Linked DNA regions of Oryzias latipes. The protein of the gene in region 1 interacts with the protein of each later gene in a biochemical or structural test. Links are inferred from orthologs where the notes say so. Each region holds a gene or a part of one and is shown on either strand. Other genes may lie near its edges. The genes, in order: membrane-associated guanylate kinase, WW and PDZ domain-containing protein 3; beta-2 adrenergic receptor; adrb1.

Evidence for each region.
Region 2: the proteins of membrane-associated guanylate kinase, WW and PDZ domain-containing protein 3 (region 1) and beta-2 adrenergic receptor form a complex in vitro, tested with the Homo sapiens proteins (2 studies listed by IntAct, with this or other methods). The link is inferred for Oryzias latipes from reciprocal best matches to the Homo sapiens genes MAGI3 and ADRB2.
Region 3: the proteins of membrane-associated guanylate kinase, WW and PDZ domain-containing protein 3 (region 1) and adrb1 interact in a test that uses a peptide from one of them, tested with the Homo sapiens proteins (2 studies listed by IntAct, with this or other methods). The link is inferred for Oryzias latipes from reciprocal best matches to the Homo sapiens genes MAGI3 and ADRB1.

What each region holds. Positions count from the first base shown.
Region 1 is NC_019865.2:23,162,910-23,168,526, forward strand, and holds part of membrane-associated guanylate kinase, WW and PDZ domain-containing protein 3, read right to left. Parts: intron 5,448-5,617; coding exon 4,833-5,447; intron 3,590-4,832; coding exon 3,558-3,589; intron 2,238-3,557; coding exon 1,973-2,237; intron 1,302-1,972; coding exon 1,207-1,301; intron 30-1,206; coding exon 1-29.
Region 2 is NC_019868.2:20,752,274-20,758,555, forward strand, and holds the start of beta-2 adrenergic receptor, read left to right. Parts: upstream 1-2,513; 5' UTR 2,514-2,686; intron 2,687-2,945; coding exon 2,946-4,193; 3' UTR 4,194-6,282. UniProt on the Homo sapiens protein: Beta-adrenergic receptors mediate the catecholamine-induced activation of adenylate cyclase through the action of G proteins. The beta-2-adrenergic receptor binds epinephrine with an approximately 30-fold greater affinity than it does norepinephrine.
Region 3 is NC_019877.2:5,428,512-5,434,567, forward strand, and holds adrb1 (beta-1 adrenergic receptor), read left to right. Parts: upstream 1-1,794; 5' UTR 1,795-2,460; coding exon 2,461-3,651; 3' UTR 3,652-4,322; downstream 4,323-6,056. UniProt on the Homo sapiens protein: Beta-adrenergic receptors mediate the catecholamine-induced activation of adenylate cyclase through the action of G proteins. This receptor binds epinephrine and norepinephrine with approximately equal affinity.

The DNA.
Region 1 (5,617 bases):
CCGTAGGGGACGATGGCGCCGATGTAAACCTGATCAAGGTAAAGAAATGGGGGGAAAGCAAATCAAATAACTGTCAAAACATTTCAACCATTTCTATATTTCATTTGACTTTCCAATCATGACTAATCTAAGGGGGTTGTGAATCGGTATCTCTTGGACATTTTCACTACACTTTCAAGATCAGAGAAAAAGATTTTAGCAGCTGCAGCATCTGCTCATTGGTATTGGTGGAGATAAACACCGGAGCTTTAGCTCTTCCACTAACGAAATGCTTGAAGAGTTGCAGTGTGTCAAAGAGCATGTGGAATTTAGGTGCTGCCAGTGACATTTCTGATGCCAAAGGGTAAAAAAACAAGAAGATAAGAAGAAATACAAAATAAAAAGCTGCCACAAACTAAAACCCTTTTAAGCTGAGCCAAACCGTGTTGGAACATTCCAATTCTAGGGGTCATTGACTTAAAACCTTGAACTCTTTACTTAATGGGTATAAGGGCAGTTTGGGTTGATTATTTTAAAAAGTTCTACAAAATCGGCGGTAACACGAGGTGATGCTTTGCTAAAGGTCAGATGTTTGAACTTTGGAAACGACAATGCACCGCTCACAGAAAATATTGACGCATGTCAAAACTGCACCGTGCTACCAAAACGTGATGCTAAAAGTAAGGCGGAAATGCTGCCCCGCCCAAAACGTGGATGCCATTAGAGAGTTGTACCGCCTTTCCTGCTCAAAATGCACCACAGGAAGTCTTATTGTGTCTGTACTTTGACTTAATATTAAAACCCAGTCCACGTTCAGGGTAAGTGGTAGCATTAAAGAACACAACTAGCTAGTCTTCTGACCATTTATTATAGATGACTGCTTTCACTGCAATAACTGTTGAAACTTTTCCCAAATGTGGCTTTTTATATTTGTTTTTTTGCACTCCTAACTGAATAGTGTTCAGTCATTGATTTCACTTTCTTTGGTTTGTCAACTATTCTGTCAGCATTCACACTGTAGCTGAGCCGCACCAGGGTTCATTTGCAAGCTAGCAAATCCTTCGTGGCTTGTTTGGTCCATTTCAGAAGAGCTTTCACACTCGTCACAAACGATCAAAGCAAACAAACTCACGTGTGGACCAAACAGTACTGTGAAAGCTTCAAAACATCTCAAACCCAATAGTCTGAAATATCAGAGAAACGGGCACTGCAGGTGAAAACACTCACAGGCTGATCCGGGCCCTCGCCTCCCAGAACCCTGAAGCCGAAACCAGACTCCTGGTTCCTTTTTATAAACACATCCAGCTCTTTTGTGTTTGGTGCTGCAAAAAGCAAGAAAAGAGTTTAAATGAATACAAAAGTATAAATATTTGACGGTGTCATTTTATTTAAGGTGGGAGTTATGAGATATCTTGTTGATACGCCACCCTCCACTCAGTCAGGGCCAGCAGTCCTAAAGCTGTGACCTCTGTGACCTTCACCAGAGTGAACAGGTCTGAGTAAAACTTTACGCTAAAACTGGAATTATCTTCCACATAATATACACGTAGCTCCAAATCTTCTTTAAGGTTATGACATCTTCAAGGTCACGGCGTCTAGATCATGAGGGTTTCCTGTTGTTTAGTTTCTGTCTTTTTGTTTTGTGTTGGTCCTCCTCTCCCATCTGTGTGTATCCTGAACTTTACTGCTTGTAGTTTGATTCCTTTAAAGAGCTTCTGCAGTGTTTAAGTATGGATTTAAAACAAAAAACATTCACTTAAAAAGAAATCCTATGTTTTCCATTGGTTTATCGGGTATGTTGGTTTTCTTGTACTTATGTTGAAACACTTAACTGGTTTCAGTTTTAAATTAACATGAAACTGAACCTCGTATAAATACAAGACAGGGACTACTGAAAGTAGATCTATAATTCTGATCACTGTTTCAGAAATGTCTGGAGTTTGGGCTCAGATCCCGTCAAAGGAAGCTGTTAAAAGTGAAAGTTTTGACTTACGCTTGCTGTCCAGGATGGCTTTGGACCTGAGGTAGAGCTCGGAGGCGTCTGGTTTGGGCGAAGATGAGCGCAAGGTGCCGCTGGAGACGGGGAGAGAGTTGGGAGTCACGTCGGACTGAGTGAGGGTCTCAGTGCTGCTGATCATCTCCTGCTGCTGCTGCTGGAGGTGGTGGTGTGAGGGTGGGTGGGGTAGCTGCTGGGGAACAGGAAGCGGCGCTTGTTCAAGGACAGGCTGCGAAACGGTGTGGGACACGGGCGCTGTGACCTGCAGCACGGAAACAGGCGGAAAACGAATGAGCCCAGGTGGACGGGAGTTATCTGTTATTTCAGCTTTTTTCCTTAACTGCAAGGTGGTCGATGGAGCATTTTTTAAGGCACATTTAAATTCACTGAAAATAGCAGGCCGACGCAAACAAAGCCGAGGCTGTTTCTGTTCCTGCCCCAGCTCGTTTTTATGTTTTTCTAAGCGCGGTAATGAGAAGCAGCACGGGGACTCTTGAATGCGGCGTATCATCTTACACAGCAAACGCAGAGGGACCTTAAGGTGCTGCCTGCACAAAGCCAACATGTTTACCCACATGCACTGCCTAAAATAACAATCTGGTAGACGTGGGCTCCCTGAGTAATGCAGCTGCTCAAACACAGAGAAAGCCGCGATCCCACACAAACCTTTAGAAAAGAAACATCAGCATTCTCTTTTTTCATGTTCTTTTCTTGCTACGTTTTGGACAAACTGTCTAAATCCAAAATTGTTGTCTGAGTTTTTACTGCAGTTTCTCCTCAGTTTTGTTATAAAATGACCTCGGCTTTGTTTGGCTTTTTTTTTTTTAAAGGGCACTTTGAGCAGATATCAGAAAGTCCTAGAAGCTAAACAGGCCACATGGGGGCAGTAGAGCTACACACAGCTGGCTGGATTGGCTGTAGTGAAATTCGTAAATGTCCCCACCGTACTGCTTAGGAGAAGTGAGAGTGGATCCATCAAGTTTCCTAGGAGGTTTGTTATTTACACAGGACTGCAGTGGATACAGTTTATTTTCTCCAGGCAGCTGTTTTTGTGCTTCTTAACATAGTATATCTTTCATCATATAAAAATTTGCAGTAAACCCTTAACCCTTGTGCTTTCCTATGATCCCACCCTTGCATTGACGTGTTCTTCCTACCATGACAAAGGTGGATAAAGGTGGAAAGATTTCATGTAATCCATGGACACCAGTGAAGATCACAAATCATTGAAGAAAAAAGGTTCAGAGCACTGTCTAGTGGGTCTAGATGACCCAACTGCCAATGTTAAAGTGCCTAGGATAGCACAAGGGCTAAATGAGGACATTTTTGGTCAAAAGGGTGCTTCAAAACATAAAAAATAATGTTGGCTTTGCACATTTGTGCTAAATGTGCGATTTGTTTGGTTTTTACACTGTTCTACCTGTACCTTAAAACAAAGTCAAAACAAACACTTCAATAAAAAACACTGAGTCATGACGTTCCAGAGAAACCGTTTTGTGCAAAAACATATTTTTAAAACACAAAACCATATCTGAAGAAAAAAATCTAAAAATCTATTCTGAGAGATGAAAGTTTAACTTACAGGTTTTAGTGATTTCACAGGAGATGTCTGACCTGTAAACAGAGGAGAAAGTGAGGGTTTTTATCAACAAAAACATGAATATTGCCCCAATAAAACAACAACAAATAAAACATTAGTACTATTGAGTTTTTTTTTATATTTAGAAAATATAGTGCACACATAGCAGTATTAATGCTTCTGGGGAGAAAGTAGTACAAAACTGTTACTTTTGAGGGGAAATTGCACAAATAATTTAGAAAAAGGGTTTAAGTCCACCAGCAGAGGGCAGTATGCTCTTATGTCCACTACCAAAGATGTAATTAGAAGATGAGAGACAGGAGTAACCTTAAGGTGCTGGAAAACATACAATTTTCTGGGATTAACCTGACAGCTGTTTGCAGCCCCAACAACAGAAAGAAGACACTTTTAAATCTGCATTAAAGGCCACAAGACTTCACTGCCTGCTATATTTTAGACCCACAAGGCAGCGGTACATACGTCATACCCCTAATCTCAGCCTGTAGGAAACTTTCAGAAAGATCTCCAGTGTGGTTTTCTCTTTTAGCCCTGGAAAACCTCTGCTTTTCTTTTCGGAAGTGACACGCTCAATCAGCATACGTGTGACCAATCGGGGGCCGCCACATACAGCAAAAGCCGAGGCCCCCGGAGTTAAGCGGAGAAGCCGGATCACTACCTTTGATATGTGGGTACAGCACTGATCTCCTGAATCTAGGCTACTGCACTGCAGCAAAGTCAAAAGAAGGAACAAGCTCTTCAAATCTCTGAAAGCACAGAGGAAGAAAGGCAGGCGGCGATAACCCACCACGCTCTGCCTCCCCTGCCCTCCTTCCTTCTCTTTTTTTTTTTAACGGCAGCAAGTGAATTGCAACCTTTTTTTCCACCTTCTGTGCACGGATCAACGTGCGAGTCCTCCCAGTTGTGGAGGATGTGGAGGTGGACAAAAGCAGGATGTAAAATAAGATTTATTTAGCATTGGAGGAGTTTGTGCACCCCGACAATGAGAACAGAATTCCACCGAAATGCATTTTCTCCTTCTCTGGAGGCTTTTGATAAACAAGAAAATGACGACAGGTGACTAAAACCTCGGCGGGGATTTAAAGGATTGCGCCGCACAGGAATAAAACCGATTATCCCAGAAAAGTCGGTAGATTATCAGAGATGGCATTGTTTAAACAACACGCCAGAACACCAGGACTCAACATTCACCACCTGTCAGATGCTCTGAAGATTAGTTGGGGATTATTTGCAGCAGCAGTGTGACCTGGGATCCCTCACCTCCTCTGAGCACCAACACGCTGACCTCGCTGCCCACGGCTAGGTCTTTCAGGATGTCCACCACCTGGGAATGACTCAAGGTTTGAACATTTTGTCTGTTGATTTCCTTGATGACGTCGCCCTTCAACAGGCCGCGGCACCACTGTGCATCCAGGATCATCTTCACCTTCTGTCCGAGGGGGCAGTCTGCGATGGCGAAGCCAAAGCCCCCTGGACCTTTCACCAGCGGAACGCTCACTAGCTCTGGCTGCAAAAGAGTCGGGTCAGGAGCGTCTTGGGCTTGAGGGAGGTGTTGATGGACGGGGTGAGGTTGGTTGAGACGTCCGTTGCTGATGGGCGGCACAGAGGCAACCTGCCGAGAGACATTCGCCCCGTCTGGGATCGTGTAGTGGGGATCCTGCGGAGTGGAGGTGGACGGAGGCAGAGAGGTGTCCGTGGAAGACGCGGCGCCACCTGCTGACTCCTCGTTACTGCCGGAGTCCTCGGGCAGTGGGTAGCCCCGGCACAGGACCATGTCCACGTACTGGTTGACTGGGATGGACTGAAACATCTGCACCACGTCGGCGTGAGTCTTCCCCAACACGCAGGCCTCGTTAATCTCCACAATCACATCACCTAACGGAAAAGGACAGAATGTAAACAAGAGCATCTCCCCTCCATAAGGGTAGAGCGTTGCACCCCTGGTTGGTTGAATTGCGTGGTATATGGACGATCGGAAAAAGATTATTCCGACCCGCCGACACAATCAATACCCTTCTCAGAAAACACAGCCACGGTTTCTCTCT
Region 2 (6,282 bases), on another chromosome or scaffold:
TCTGAGGGCAACTACATTGAGGCAGCGTCTACTTTTGAGCAGCTATACTATTGCTGTATTAGTTTTAAATGGTTATCCTTTGTTCCAGTGGATGGAGAGTAGCTCTCACTTTACTTAGTCCATGTAAATAAGGCTGCTAACTATTGTCCAATTGGAAGAAAACCTGCTTAGTTATTTAGTCCTTTGAACATGTGGCCAACATGGAGAACAGCAAGTCAGCTCTCATCCCTCTGCTTTATGTTGCCCTAGCTGGTCTCTGCTCAAATCAGACTCCTCCCTCCTCAGTTTCCAAACAGGAATTACCCACTGGTTTCAAGAAGCCAGAATTCCAGACTTTTATTGCAAAATGAACAGATTTCATACAGTTATTATATATGACAAAATAATCATTTTTCTTTGAAAACTTTTTTTTTACACATTTTTGCAAATCCGTTTTTTTTTTCATGAAACCTTTTCTTTATTGCAAGTTGTACATGTTAAAAACTGTCCAATCAGATGCTTCAATTAATGTATGCAGTGCCTTCTGGCCCCCACATTGAACATTTAAAAATGTTTGACAGATTCTCCCAAAGTTTACTTTTGGACTTCCAGCAAGTTTAGTCCTGATTGATGAGAGTGGTTGCCATAGAAACAATGATTCAGACATACTTGGACCCATTGCTGCTTATTGACGTTGTCTCGTTTTGCAAAAAAATGGTGACTTCATTTGGTTGGAGCCGAAGTAAGCCATTTACTAGGAATGACGTCACACTGGCCCGGTGCAGTTTTCTTTTACAGTCAATGGTTATAACTCATTTCATGATGACATCAACAAAAAAACTGCAGGTTGCCCTTTTTTACCAAATCTTTAAAGAAAAGCAGTTTTGAAAATACCAAATGATCTACATTTTTTTTATTTTGTTGAAAGAGATGTGCAAATGTGGATTTGTTTTGCATCCTGAACATGGCCTGAATTTCAGCCTGACCCAATAAATAACAGTGCTCCTTTATTTCTTCTATATACTAACAAACAGGCAAGATGACCATGCCATAAGAATGGTCACTTTGCCAATGGTAATTTAGGTCACACATTTACGTCATCTCATTGTTCACCTTGTGACTGTAAAAAGATGAAACACCTTGATAAATGTCAAAGTGTATTCCCATGAAGGATTTCTTCTAAATGAGGGCTCAGACATATGGCATCTCTTATCTTTAATCTTGTCATGCCTTGAAAATCCACCACGAAACACCAGGTTTTGGTTTCTATGGTTGGTGTTAATGCAGGTATATAATCCAAAAAACGTCAAGCATCCTCTATTTAATCTCAGGAGTGGAACTGTCTTTGGATTTTTTCCAAACCACGTACGCTCTAATCTATCTAATGTGCGTAGAAGAAAATTATGCAATTCAAGATTTTGCGCAATTGAGCAAAAATCTTTGTGATCTTTAAGCAAAAAATCAGCGGTAAAAAACACATTACAACAGTCTCAAACATTTGCAAAAATCTTTGTTGTTTTCTTTTTCTGTAGTTTGTAAACCTTTTAAGACCTGTAACCTAAAAGGATAAATAAAATGTGCACGTTTATTGATACTTGCACATTTAATACACCTTCGAGAAAAAATACTTTAAAAAAAGGCTGAAGTACAAAAGTGTCACAAAAGATTAGGTTAAAGGGTTAGGATTGAGGGTATTGGATCATTTTATTACAGAATCATTTTTAAAAAGAGATATATTAACTTAAAAGAATTCAATAAGCATTGAAGACTTTCCGTGAAGTGTTTTTACGCATTCACAAACCAAGCAGAACTATCATTGCATTGTTGAAATTTGAATAAATGAGGTTTAGTTTGCATAGATCACATGTATGGAATAAATGTGGTCATAAAAGTGCAAATTTGTTCTTGATCCTCAAAGGCTTTCTTTTAGCTCTTGCTGTGAAGATCACTGCGCCTTTTACGTACCAAAACACTGAGGTCATTTTTACAGTTTGACCTTTGGATGTTAAAATGTAAGCATATGTTCTTGTATTGGCGAAGGTCCTGATTTTTATATAAAAGAGCAGCCTACAAAACTCAAAGGTTTTGTCAGGACAAGAAGTGTGTTAAAGCTCCAATCCAACCACTCAATAGATCTTGACAAAATTCACTGAGCTACACTTGCCAGTTGGATCACTTGTGAATCCAGCCTGATCTTACAAATGCTCAAAAAATGCTTTAACTAGTTTTAATTGGATACAGATTCACAAGCATGAAGCTGTAAACTCATACAGGAACATAGCATAACAGGAAGTAGACTTTATGACTCGAGCTGAAATACAGCTCGTAGATTTCAGTACAAATTTGCAGGTTTTTTAAATATGTAAATGTTTGCCTGTGTTGGCTGCCGTATGTCTCATGCAGCCCTGCAGCAGCAGCTGTTGGGACAGTGTGTTCAAACTCCTGTGAGCGCTCAGCACCCTCCACAGGCTAGTGCGCTGATTGGCTGAGCTCTGACTGTGATGTCACCATTGCATGCTATAAGGACTCTGAGACACATCAGAGGAAACACTGCTCAACGGAACGACTTGGTAGAGAGACAACTGGAGCTCAACCCGAACAAAAAGTACAGGGGCATGTGAGCCTTGCCAGTCTTACAGGAAGTATTTCAACACTGACATTCTGACATTTTTATGGGAGGCTGGGAGCAAAACAACGACCTGTCGAGGTTGGTATTTTTGCTCTTTCTTGACTCAACTTGTTTTTAAAGCATGGAGCCAAAAAGGTCGTTATGGCTGGTGCCTCTGCTGTGTTTTTTTTAATCTTTTGTTGCTTTGCTTGTTTTTTTGTTTCAGATACAAACATTCATGTTTTAAACTTTATTATTGCTGCATTTATTTAGTTCCCATAAGTTAGATACATGTTTGAATTGTGCACTTCCCCTCTTTTTACTGTGTCTGATGATTTTCTGCATGTGATTTCTTCAGATGGGAGTTACAGTCTCTCCAGTCTACTCGAATGTGAGCACTACGTCATTGTCCAACAACGAGACGGGCCACAACGAGATGGGCCTCAACGAGACAGGCCACAGTGAGACGGCTATGATCCTGATGGGCATCGGAATGTCTTTTCTGGTGCTGTGCATTGTCTTTGGAAACATCCTGGTCATAACAGCAATCGCTCGCTTTCAGCGTCTCCAAACTGTCACCAACTGCTTCGTCACATCTCTGGCGTGTGCAGACCTGGTCATGGGTCTCATTGTGGTTCCCTTTGGTGCTTTAAACATCATCTTCGTTAAATGGCACTTTGGTAAATTCTGGTGCGACTTCTGGACTGCCACAGATGTCCTCTGCGTGACTGCAAGCATCGGGACCCTTTGTGTCATCGCTATTGACCGTTACGTGGCCATTACTGCACCCTTCCGCTACCAGTCACTATTGACAAAGTGCAGAGCTCGAATTGTGGTCATCTTTATATGGGTGATTGCTGCTTTGACATCCTACCCGCCCATTCATATGAACGTGTGGAGATCCAATACATCGGAAGCTGAGAAATGTCTTAATAAAACAGACTGCTGCCAGTTTCACACAAACATACAATATGGAATCACCTCCTCCATCATCTCCTTCTACATCCCTTTGATCATCATGGTTTTTGTCTACAGCCGTGTTTTCCTGGCGGCCAAAAGGCAGCTAAAAAAGATTAACCAAAGCGTTGGACGCTTTCATGTAGATTCTTCGGAGGACAAGAATGGCCGTGGACAAAAGAAGGCAAAGTTTTACTTGCGTGAACACAAAGCCCTGAAAACTTTGGGTATCATAATGGGGACCTTTACTCTTTGCTGGCTACCATTCTTCATCCTTAATGTAATCGCGTCCATATGGAACGTGAACAACTATAGCGTATTTATGATTCTGAACTGGATAGGCTATTCAAACTCTATGTTCAACCCTGTCATTTACTGCCGGAGTCCTGAGTTCAGGTACGCTTTCAAGGAACTCCTGTGCATCAGGAGGAACCATCTGAGCCACCAAGGCCAAACAAATGGATACATCTACAGCAGGCACAGCTGGCAGAGTGAGCAGCAAGGGAGGAGCAAGTGCAACTCGGAGGACAGTGATGCCAATGAGGCTTGTCTGATAAAAGGTGCAGGGGTGGGCAGTGGTGTGGACAGAGCCATAGACCCCAATGGAAACTGCAACAAAGGTATAACGACTGTCACAACTGCCCTTTAAGCACGGACCACCGACCCTTCAGTCAACAGAGAAAGATGAAAGCCTATACACTTATGAACATTTAGGGCTTTTCTCTCAATCGCTGATTAAGGTAAGGCCAGTCAAAGTGGCTGGCAGTGTTTCAAAAGTGTTTCAGAGAACCTGCAACGATCACATCAAGCTGAGGAACATTTTTTTTAAGTTAAACATAGTGACTACATATTGTAATGTATTTTTTTTATTACATGATGACTACATCTACCTCCCTAACGGCTTTACAGTGTTAGTTTCTTTACCGGCTTACATTCTTACCTTTGGAGTTAAACGAGAGCGATGTCTCAGCTGTGTGTTGAGCCTAATAAATGGCGTGTGAATAGTACATTTGCAGATTATAAGGCTTCATCCAAAACCTTAGGGCATGCTTTATTTATTTTTTGCTCTTTCTTGAGGAGGGAAGCCACAGTTTTTTGTATGGTATAAAACTGTATTTGAGATTTTCCATGCGATTTTTCTTCCAATGCAAAGAATGGATTTTTGAACCAGTCTTGGTCTTTGCATCAAAAATTACATTCCGACAACACTTGAGGAATCTATTAAGTTGTAATCTTTTTTTCAGGGAGCTATATTGGCTACGCGTGAGGCAAAACACGTCTCAGTCCTGCTCTACTGTGCAAGACTGTGTTTAAAGGAGTTTATGTTGTCAGCAGAAAGCACAAGAGATATGGCTGGCTAATCTAGATCCTAATGCTGAGCCTAAGGAACGCCTGTAGCTGTTGGGTTAATGCCATCATAAAACATCAAAGCTTGTTTTATCAGATAACGAACCGTAAAATACCTATAATTTTTGGGAGGAACGCTAAGTGCAATAATATAAAACTTGGGCTGAAATGCTCACCGTTTTCATAAATTCAAACATTTCTTTTGGCTTGTTACATATACCTGAACTATGTCTATTTTCCACTTGTTGCAAATCTAAAACCACTTTTTTGTTACAAATAACAGTGAGAACGACGATTCTTTTTCTTCTGTGCGACAAATTTGAACCATAGTTGACCCATAGCTGCATGAGCCTTGTTTGTTTATCAGATTTTGCAGTTGCCATGTTTCAGTATGTGCACAGTTTACCGCAACCAGAGAAGCTGTTTCCTCATAGTGCAAGGGTACAGACAACACGTAATCATAAACAGGGTGTGAATGCAGCCAAATGACAAAGTTCTAGCACCAAGCCATAACGGTGAAGTCAGCAACCAGACAGAAAAAAGAAAAAATCCAAAGCTTGTATTCAGTACACTCATTGTTTTTATCTGGCTATCTCTTTTCTTGTGTGTGTAATCATTGTGCCATTTGGACAAGAGACACGGGAGCCTGCAAAAACGTGCCTCGGCTTCAGTCGTTTCAGTCAGTTTTGGTCAGTCTTATTTAAATGCCCCTTAATGTGCAGCCTGGAGAAAAGGCAGCTGAGCCCTGATCCAATAAACACAAACACATCTCCTGTTTAGCTGAAGAATCATCATAAAAGGGATCCAGAGGACCAACCTAAAATGATTTTCTTTCTTGTCATTCACTTTAAAACTTCAAGGAAGACTATCGTGGACAATAAGCACTTAGCACAAAGGGCACGATTGCAAGCCTATTAAGAGTAAAGGAAAGTGTTGATGTAGCTGCAGCACCTTTCCTTAGTGAGTTTGGCAGAAGTATGATCTTGTCAAAGGGACTGAACACTAAATGTAGCTCCTAAGACAGGAGGGGGACCAGGGACTCTGCCAGGCTAAATCTGTGTTAGTGACTTGTATTTTTGTGCATGTAGCATCGCCTCTGACCGGGGTTAGATTTGCTGACACTTTCAAAGCTGTGAACTTTGTTCCTCCAGAGGAAACCTCTTATGTACTGTATCGCACGGTTTGGTGAGCGCTGTTATCACAGACCTTAGGAGTCGACGTAAACACAGTGTCATCATACGTCAATGTTTGCCATGTGAAAAACAAGCTTTCCAGTGTGCTGATCTTTTTCTGTTTTTCTTCTTTGCGGATTTACAGCAAAGTAAATGTACAAGGTTGAATGTCATAGGAAATGTTTCTTTTAGACTTTTATTTTAACATTTCCACTGTAC
Region 3 (6,056 bases), on another chromosome or scaffold:
GCACCTCAAGCATCCTTACCCAGCATATCCCACCCAGACCACTGACGTCGGCATTTTGCCTAAAACTCCTTAAGTTAGCAGTTTTTAAAACAATACGATATGACTCAAGGAGATGCTATAACAGACCCAGTTTCATGGACCTCTTTGCTCACTGAGTTCATTTGCACTCAGCCTTACTAGCAGCCTGTAAATCCCTCCTTACAGCATTCCTCGAGTAGTGCTTTTGTTGTGCAACTGGTCTGCATGAAGGTTTAGAGAAATTTTCTAAGGAATTGGCAGAAAAAGTTCTGGCTTAGATCTTTGCACAGTTCATATTTCTTCTTTACAAGAAAACATGTGGGAATCAAAATCTAACCCCCATACACTAAATTTTAAGGCTGTTTCTATGAATTTTAAATTTTTATTTTTTAATTAGCTCTTACAATTGAATGAGTACAGTTACAAAAACAAAAAGGTTTCCCCCATAGACAGGGTCTGCAACCTGAGACTCTGGAGCCTCAGGTTTTCCTCAACAGTGGCGGAAAAAGGGTTAATAACTTGAAGAAATAATAGGCTTCTGGTTCGGATAGTTTTAAAGATTTTGTCATAAAAGATCGAAATGGTGGTTGTTCATTTACAATCAGCGTGCAATAAATATAATAAAAAGTATTGTTGTTAACGTCAACTGTTTTTGACCATAAATAGCTGGAGAACCATTTCTATCATGTTTTTTATGTATTTATTTTCAGCTGATAAAACAAAACCTAAACAGCATAAACAGAAATTTAACAATGATTGACAATATTTAAAGTTTGTAAAAAGGGATTTGGATGAACATTAAAAGTCCCCTTTTTTTTCAGTTGGAAGGTTGTGAGTTCAAATCCAGGCCGAGTCATACCAAAGACTCTAAAAGTTTTTTTTGATTCTTTTTATTTATTACATTTTAATAAATAATTAATAATTAAAATAAATAATAATTTGATCTGAATTCAGTCTCTAAAGTTTATATTTATACAAACTGTATTTTTTGCATATTACAAAAGGTTGAGACTGAAAACAAACAGAGAAGGTTTTCAGGAAGAAAGTAAATATCAATGAATCTTATTTATTCCTTTATTTCTATTGCGTATATCACCCTTTTACAATTGTTTTAAAAACTTTTTTATATTTTCAATTTTTAATGTCTTTCTTGCAATTATTCCACATGTGAACTGGGGTTTTTTAGTCTTAAATAAAATGATATAGCTCTGTTTATGAATGTCATCTGTCAAACCTGACTAAATTAACCAACAAGCTTTCAACGTAAGACTATTTGTCTTAAGAGGACTGAGGACAGAGGACTGTGGACAGAGGACTGTGAACAGAGTCCTGCGTTTGCCGCTTCTCTTTGGACCAAAATAGGAAAATTCTAAAATGGTCCTCAGAAATATATTTTGGTGTTTATTATTGGAGCTGAATGAAGAATTTGAGAGTTTATGATTCCCAACCAACCATTCACTTGAGGTGAAACTAATCCAAAAGAACAAGGAAAGCCTCTAATTGGCCCCTGAGCTTAAGGGGTCTAACCCATGACTCCTGAATGTGGATTTAGATTGAAAGTACTTTTCCAGCAATGAGGTCACTTTAAATATGATAAAAATAAGCTTTCCCAGGTTTATTTTCTCAAAAACAACCAGTCTGTCTATCTTAGGGTCACTTGAGGGATGTTAAGACTGCTTCATGGTTGATGTCATGTTTCAGCTTCAGACGAGGGGTCACAGAGGTCATGAGGAGTGGTCCAGAAATAAATCCAGCTTCTTCTTTGGTGTTTAAACTTTAAACGCTTGCCGTTCAGTCAGTTCCCATCTGGAGCTCTTCATGTTCATTTGAACCACTCAGCCCGTGGACAAGGAGAAGAGAGGTTGTCGACAAGGAATCTGGGAATTCTGACTGCCAGTCAAACCCAGCGTAGCTTTATGGCTTCTGATAAGGTGGGAGTCGATCTCAAGGGAAGCATTTCTGGAGGTAAAAATATAAATGTGGAACAACAAATCTGGTTTGCCATGGAGGGTGATGAAAGCGGGAAAATCCCTCTGGATTTTCACTTTTGGCCTGGTGTTCCCACAGTGCTGGAATTTTTTTTTTCAGGAAACAGGGACAGTTTGTGTTAGTAAGTAACAAACATAAAGTGGTGCGTTTTAGGGTGTTTTATTTTCAGAAATATGATACAAAAAAGAGGCCGAAGTTGATGTTGCCTCCTCTGATCCACTGGGACCTTTGTTCCACTGGACTGCCTGATTGGTCGCACTGATTGATGATGTCACCCGTGTTTCAGTCCCCGCTGGGGGGGCATCAAGCGCAGAAGAAGAAAGCAGCTCCAGATGGAGTTTGCGCGCGCTGGGATTGGAGCTGCGTCTCTGTCGAGCGCAGCAGAAGGAAACGGCTGCTGCGCGCTGCCTGAATGAACTCACCCTGCTGTCAAACGCAGCGCAGCAACGCGCCATGGGGGACGGCGGCGCGTCCTCTCCAGTGACCCCCCACAACGGCACTGGAACCGAGGCGTCCAACGGGCAGGGCACCGTTCCAGCCGCGTCCGAGCAGTGGACAGCAGGCATGAGTCTGGTGATGGCTTTGATTGTGCTGTCCATTGTTTTTGGGAATATCCTGGTGATCTTGGCCATAGCCAGGACGCAGAGGCTGCAGACCCTCACCAATGTGTTCATCGTATCGCTGGCCAGTGCAGATCTCATCATGGGCTTACTTGTTGTGCCGTTTGGCGCTGTGCTCGAGGTGCGCGGCTTGTGGCTTTACGGCTCTTTTTTCTGTGAGATCTGGACCTCTGTGGATGTCCTCTGCGTCACCGCCAGCATAGAGACCCTGTGCGTAATCGCCATAGACAGGTACGTGGCCATCACTTCACCTTTCCGCTACCAAAGCTTGTTAACCAAAAGTCGGGCCAAAGCGGTGGTGTGTGTGGTGTGGGCCATCTCTGCGCTGGTCTCCTTCCTCCCCATCCTGATGCACTGGTCCCGCGACAGCATGGACACGGACTGCTACGAAAACCCCCAATGCTGCGACTTTGTCACCAACAGGGCATATGCCATCTCCTCCTCCGTTATCTCCTTCTACATTCCTCTCGTGGTGATGATTTTTGTTTACGCACGCGTGTACAGAGAAGCGAAAAAGCAGCTCAAAAAGATCGACAAGTGTGAGGGCAGGTTTCACAACACCCTGACAGGGCTGACCTCCAAGTGCAAGAAGAGACCTTCAAAGATCTTGGCGCTCAGGGAGCAAAAGGCGCTGAAAACTCTGGGAATCATCATGGGGACGTTCACTCTGTGCTGGCTGCCCTTCTTCATAGTCAACGTTGTGCGCGTATTTTGCGCAGAGCTTGTGGACAAGAACGTCTTCGTGTTCCTGAACTGGCTGGGTTACGTGAACTCTGCCTTTAACCCAATTATTTACTGCCGGAGTCCGGACTTCAGGAAGGCTTTTAAGAGGCTGCTGTGCTGCCCGAGGCAAGCCGATCGCAGGCTGCACATCAGCTCCTGCGACCTGACGCGCTGCTCCGGCGGGTTCGTGTCAGCGCTGGAGCCTGGCACGCTGGAGATGTGGTCCGACTGCGCCGTGTTGGACAGCAGCGACAGCATCCTGGTGGGGACGAAGCTGCCGCGATCTGAATCCCAGCTGTGAGGTGGATTAATGCACTCTTATGGGAAACTCAAAAACAAAACAGAAATAACTTGATGATCCTTCTTTCTCAAAAGCTGTGCGTAAAAGTCATCCTCCAAATTAGCTAGAATTTTTTTATTGCAATTTCCCATCTGAATCAATTCACAATGCCGACGGATAACGATTTATTTTATATAAATCTGCACTTTGACTAATTAAAACGCAAATCTTCCTTTCATGGAGGAAGAACGAACACCTAAGCAGAAAATGTTTCATCATAAATCCGTGGGATAACTTTCTTCTCTCCTCTCTGGAGAAGGGGAGAAAAAAAAATATTGCTCCACCTTAACGAAGTACAACAGTTCATCTGTAAATGGCGGCTGATGCGCACTTTTCATGAGCAAAAACCTTTTGTCCAAGTGTTCAATTCCTCTTACAATGTGTTTTACCTCACAGCAAAGACAAGTGCAATTTGTATGACATGTTGTTGTTTATATTAAACATGATGTAAAATAGCTCTGCATTTACTCTGTCTTTTTCAGCTGGGAAATGAAGGACAGGTGATTGTATATAATGAAGTGTTAAGCACTAAAGGGAGGAAACTGGGCCTCTCTGACTGTCTGTCTCTCTTATTTTAAATGCTGTTATGAGGTGGTGCTTCTGTGAAAATAAAAGATGGTTTCATTCTTAAATGTTGGAGCTTTTATTTCCTTCCAGGGAGCAATGACACTAAACTTCTCCACATATTTTTGAATATTTTCCTTTTTCATCAGCTACAAAGTAAGAATAGAAGAGGTATTTTATTTGAAATGTATATGGCATCAGGTGATGCTTTCAATGCGTGGATTAGGACTGCTGGATCAGGGTCAATCAATTAGCAAACAGCTTTTTCTTCTTTTCCTTTCGGCTTTTCCCTACAGGGATTCCCACAGCCAATCAGCTTTCTCCATCTAACCCTGTCTTCTGCACCCTCACCTTTAATACCAGCTACCTTTACGTCTTTGTTCACTGCATCCATAAACCTCCTCCTTGGTCTTCTTCTAGACCTCTTGCCTGGCAGCTCTAGACTCTTTCTGTCTCCTCTGGACATGCAAATCATCTCAGTCTAACTTTATCTCCAGGACTCCTGATGTACTCAGTCCTGATCCTATCCAAACAGCTGATTTACATATTTTACACTTTGGATTTAAAAGATTTTGATTATTTCTTAGCTCTACCTTGCTTTTTTCTTGTTGTTTCTGCTTCAGAATTGTCGATTTTTAAAAGAAAATTCTAAAGTTTTCAAGTTTGAGCCACTTTAAACAAAAAACAACTCTGTAAAAATCAATTATTATATAAAGATTTTTTTTATTTAGTTAAGGAGAATTTTAAAATTTAAATTGTAATTTAATCATGTAGTTTTTTAAATAGCCTAATTACTAACAAGGCTTTGGGGGGGGCATGTTCATTTTCTGCAAGAGGATATTTAATGTTAATTTTGCTGATTTTGTTCTATGCTTTTGTGCATACTTGTGAAATTTGTTCAGACTGTAAATTCTGGGATATTCTGCACACTACGTGCAAAAAGTGGGGGAAAATGCATCACTATCAGCAAGGTTTTAGGCGGAACTGAAAGATAATGAGTTAAAATCTTTGCATGAAATGAAAAAGAAAGGTTTAGTATTCTCTGCTTGTTTGCTCAAGTCTCCATCAAACGCAGCATTACATTTCAACCTCACACAGTTAACTTGAGCATTTTTTACATCGTTTGGAGGATTTTCCACAGCATTACAGACTCAAAAGCCAGGAATTTTAATGGACTAATTTGCGCTCCTGCAAACAAAGAAGTCATTTGGTAACAATGCTGCAGTTCCAGGTGGGTGAACTGGCGTGTTTTAAGGGGACGTGTGTTCCCTCTCAACTGCATTCCTGCTCAAACCTTCTTAAAGGGCAGCAGTCCCTTTGGTCCAGTTGTGGCTGCCACATTTCGAAGCGATTTCTGTGTTAGTTCTTCCTTCTGCTGTATTTAGACCGGCTCTGTGTGACCTGAATTTAGACATGATGAATAGCTAATTAGGTTTCATCTCATGGACTTGGGGAAGGTACTCGGGCTGATTCTGGGGTGTCAGTTCTCGATTAGTTCAGTGATTTTTGGCTGATCCATGTCGGATCTGATATTTTGCTGTCACGTGTCGTGTGTTTGATTAACCCTTGTGCTATCCTAGACACTTTAATGTTGGGAGTTGGGTCATCTAGACCCACTAGACAGTGCTCTGAACCTTTTTTCTTCAATGATTTGTGATCTTCACTGGTGTCCATGGATTACATGAAATCTTTCCACCTTTATCCACCTTTGTCATGGTAGGAAGAACACGTCAATGTAAGGGTGGGGTCATCTAAGATAGCACAAGGGTTAAGCTCCATAAAATTTCCTTTTAGTTGAATGT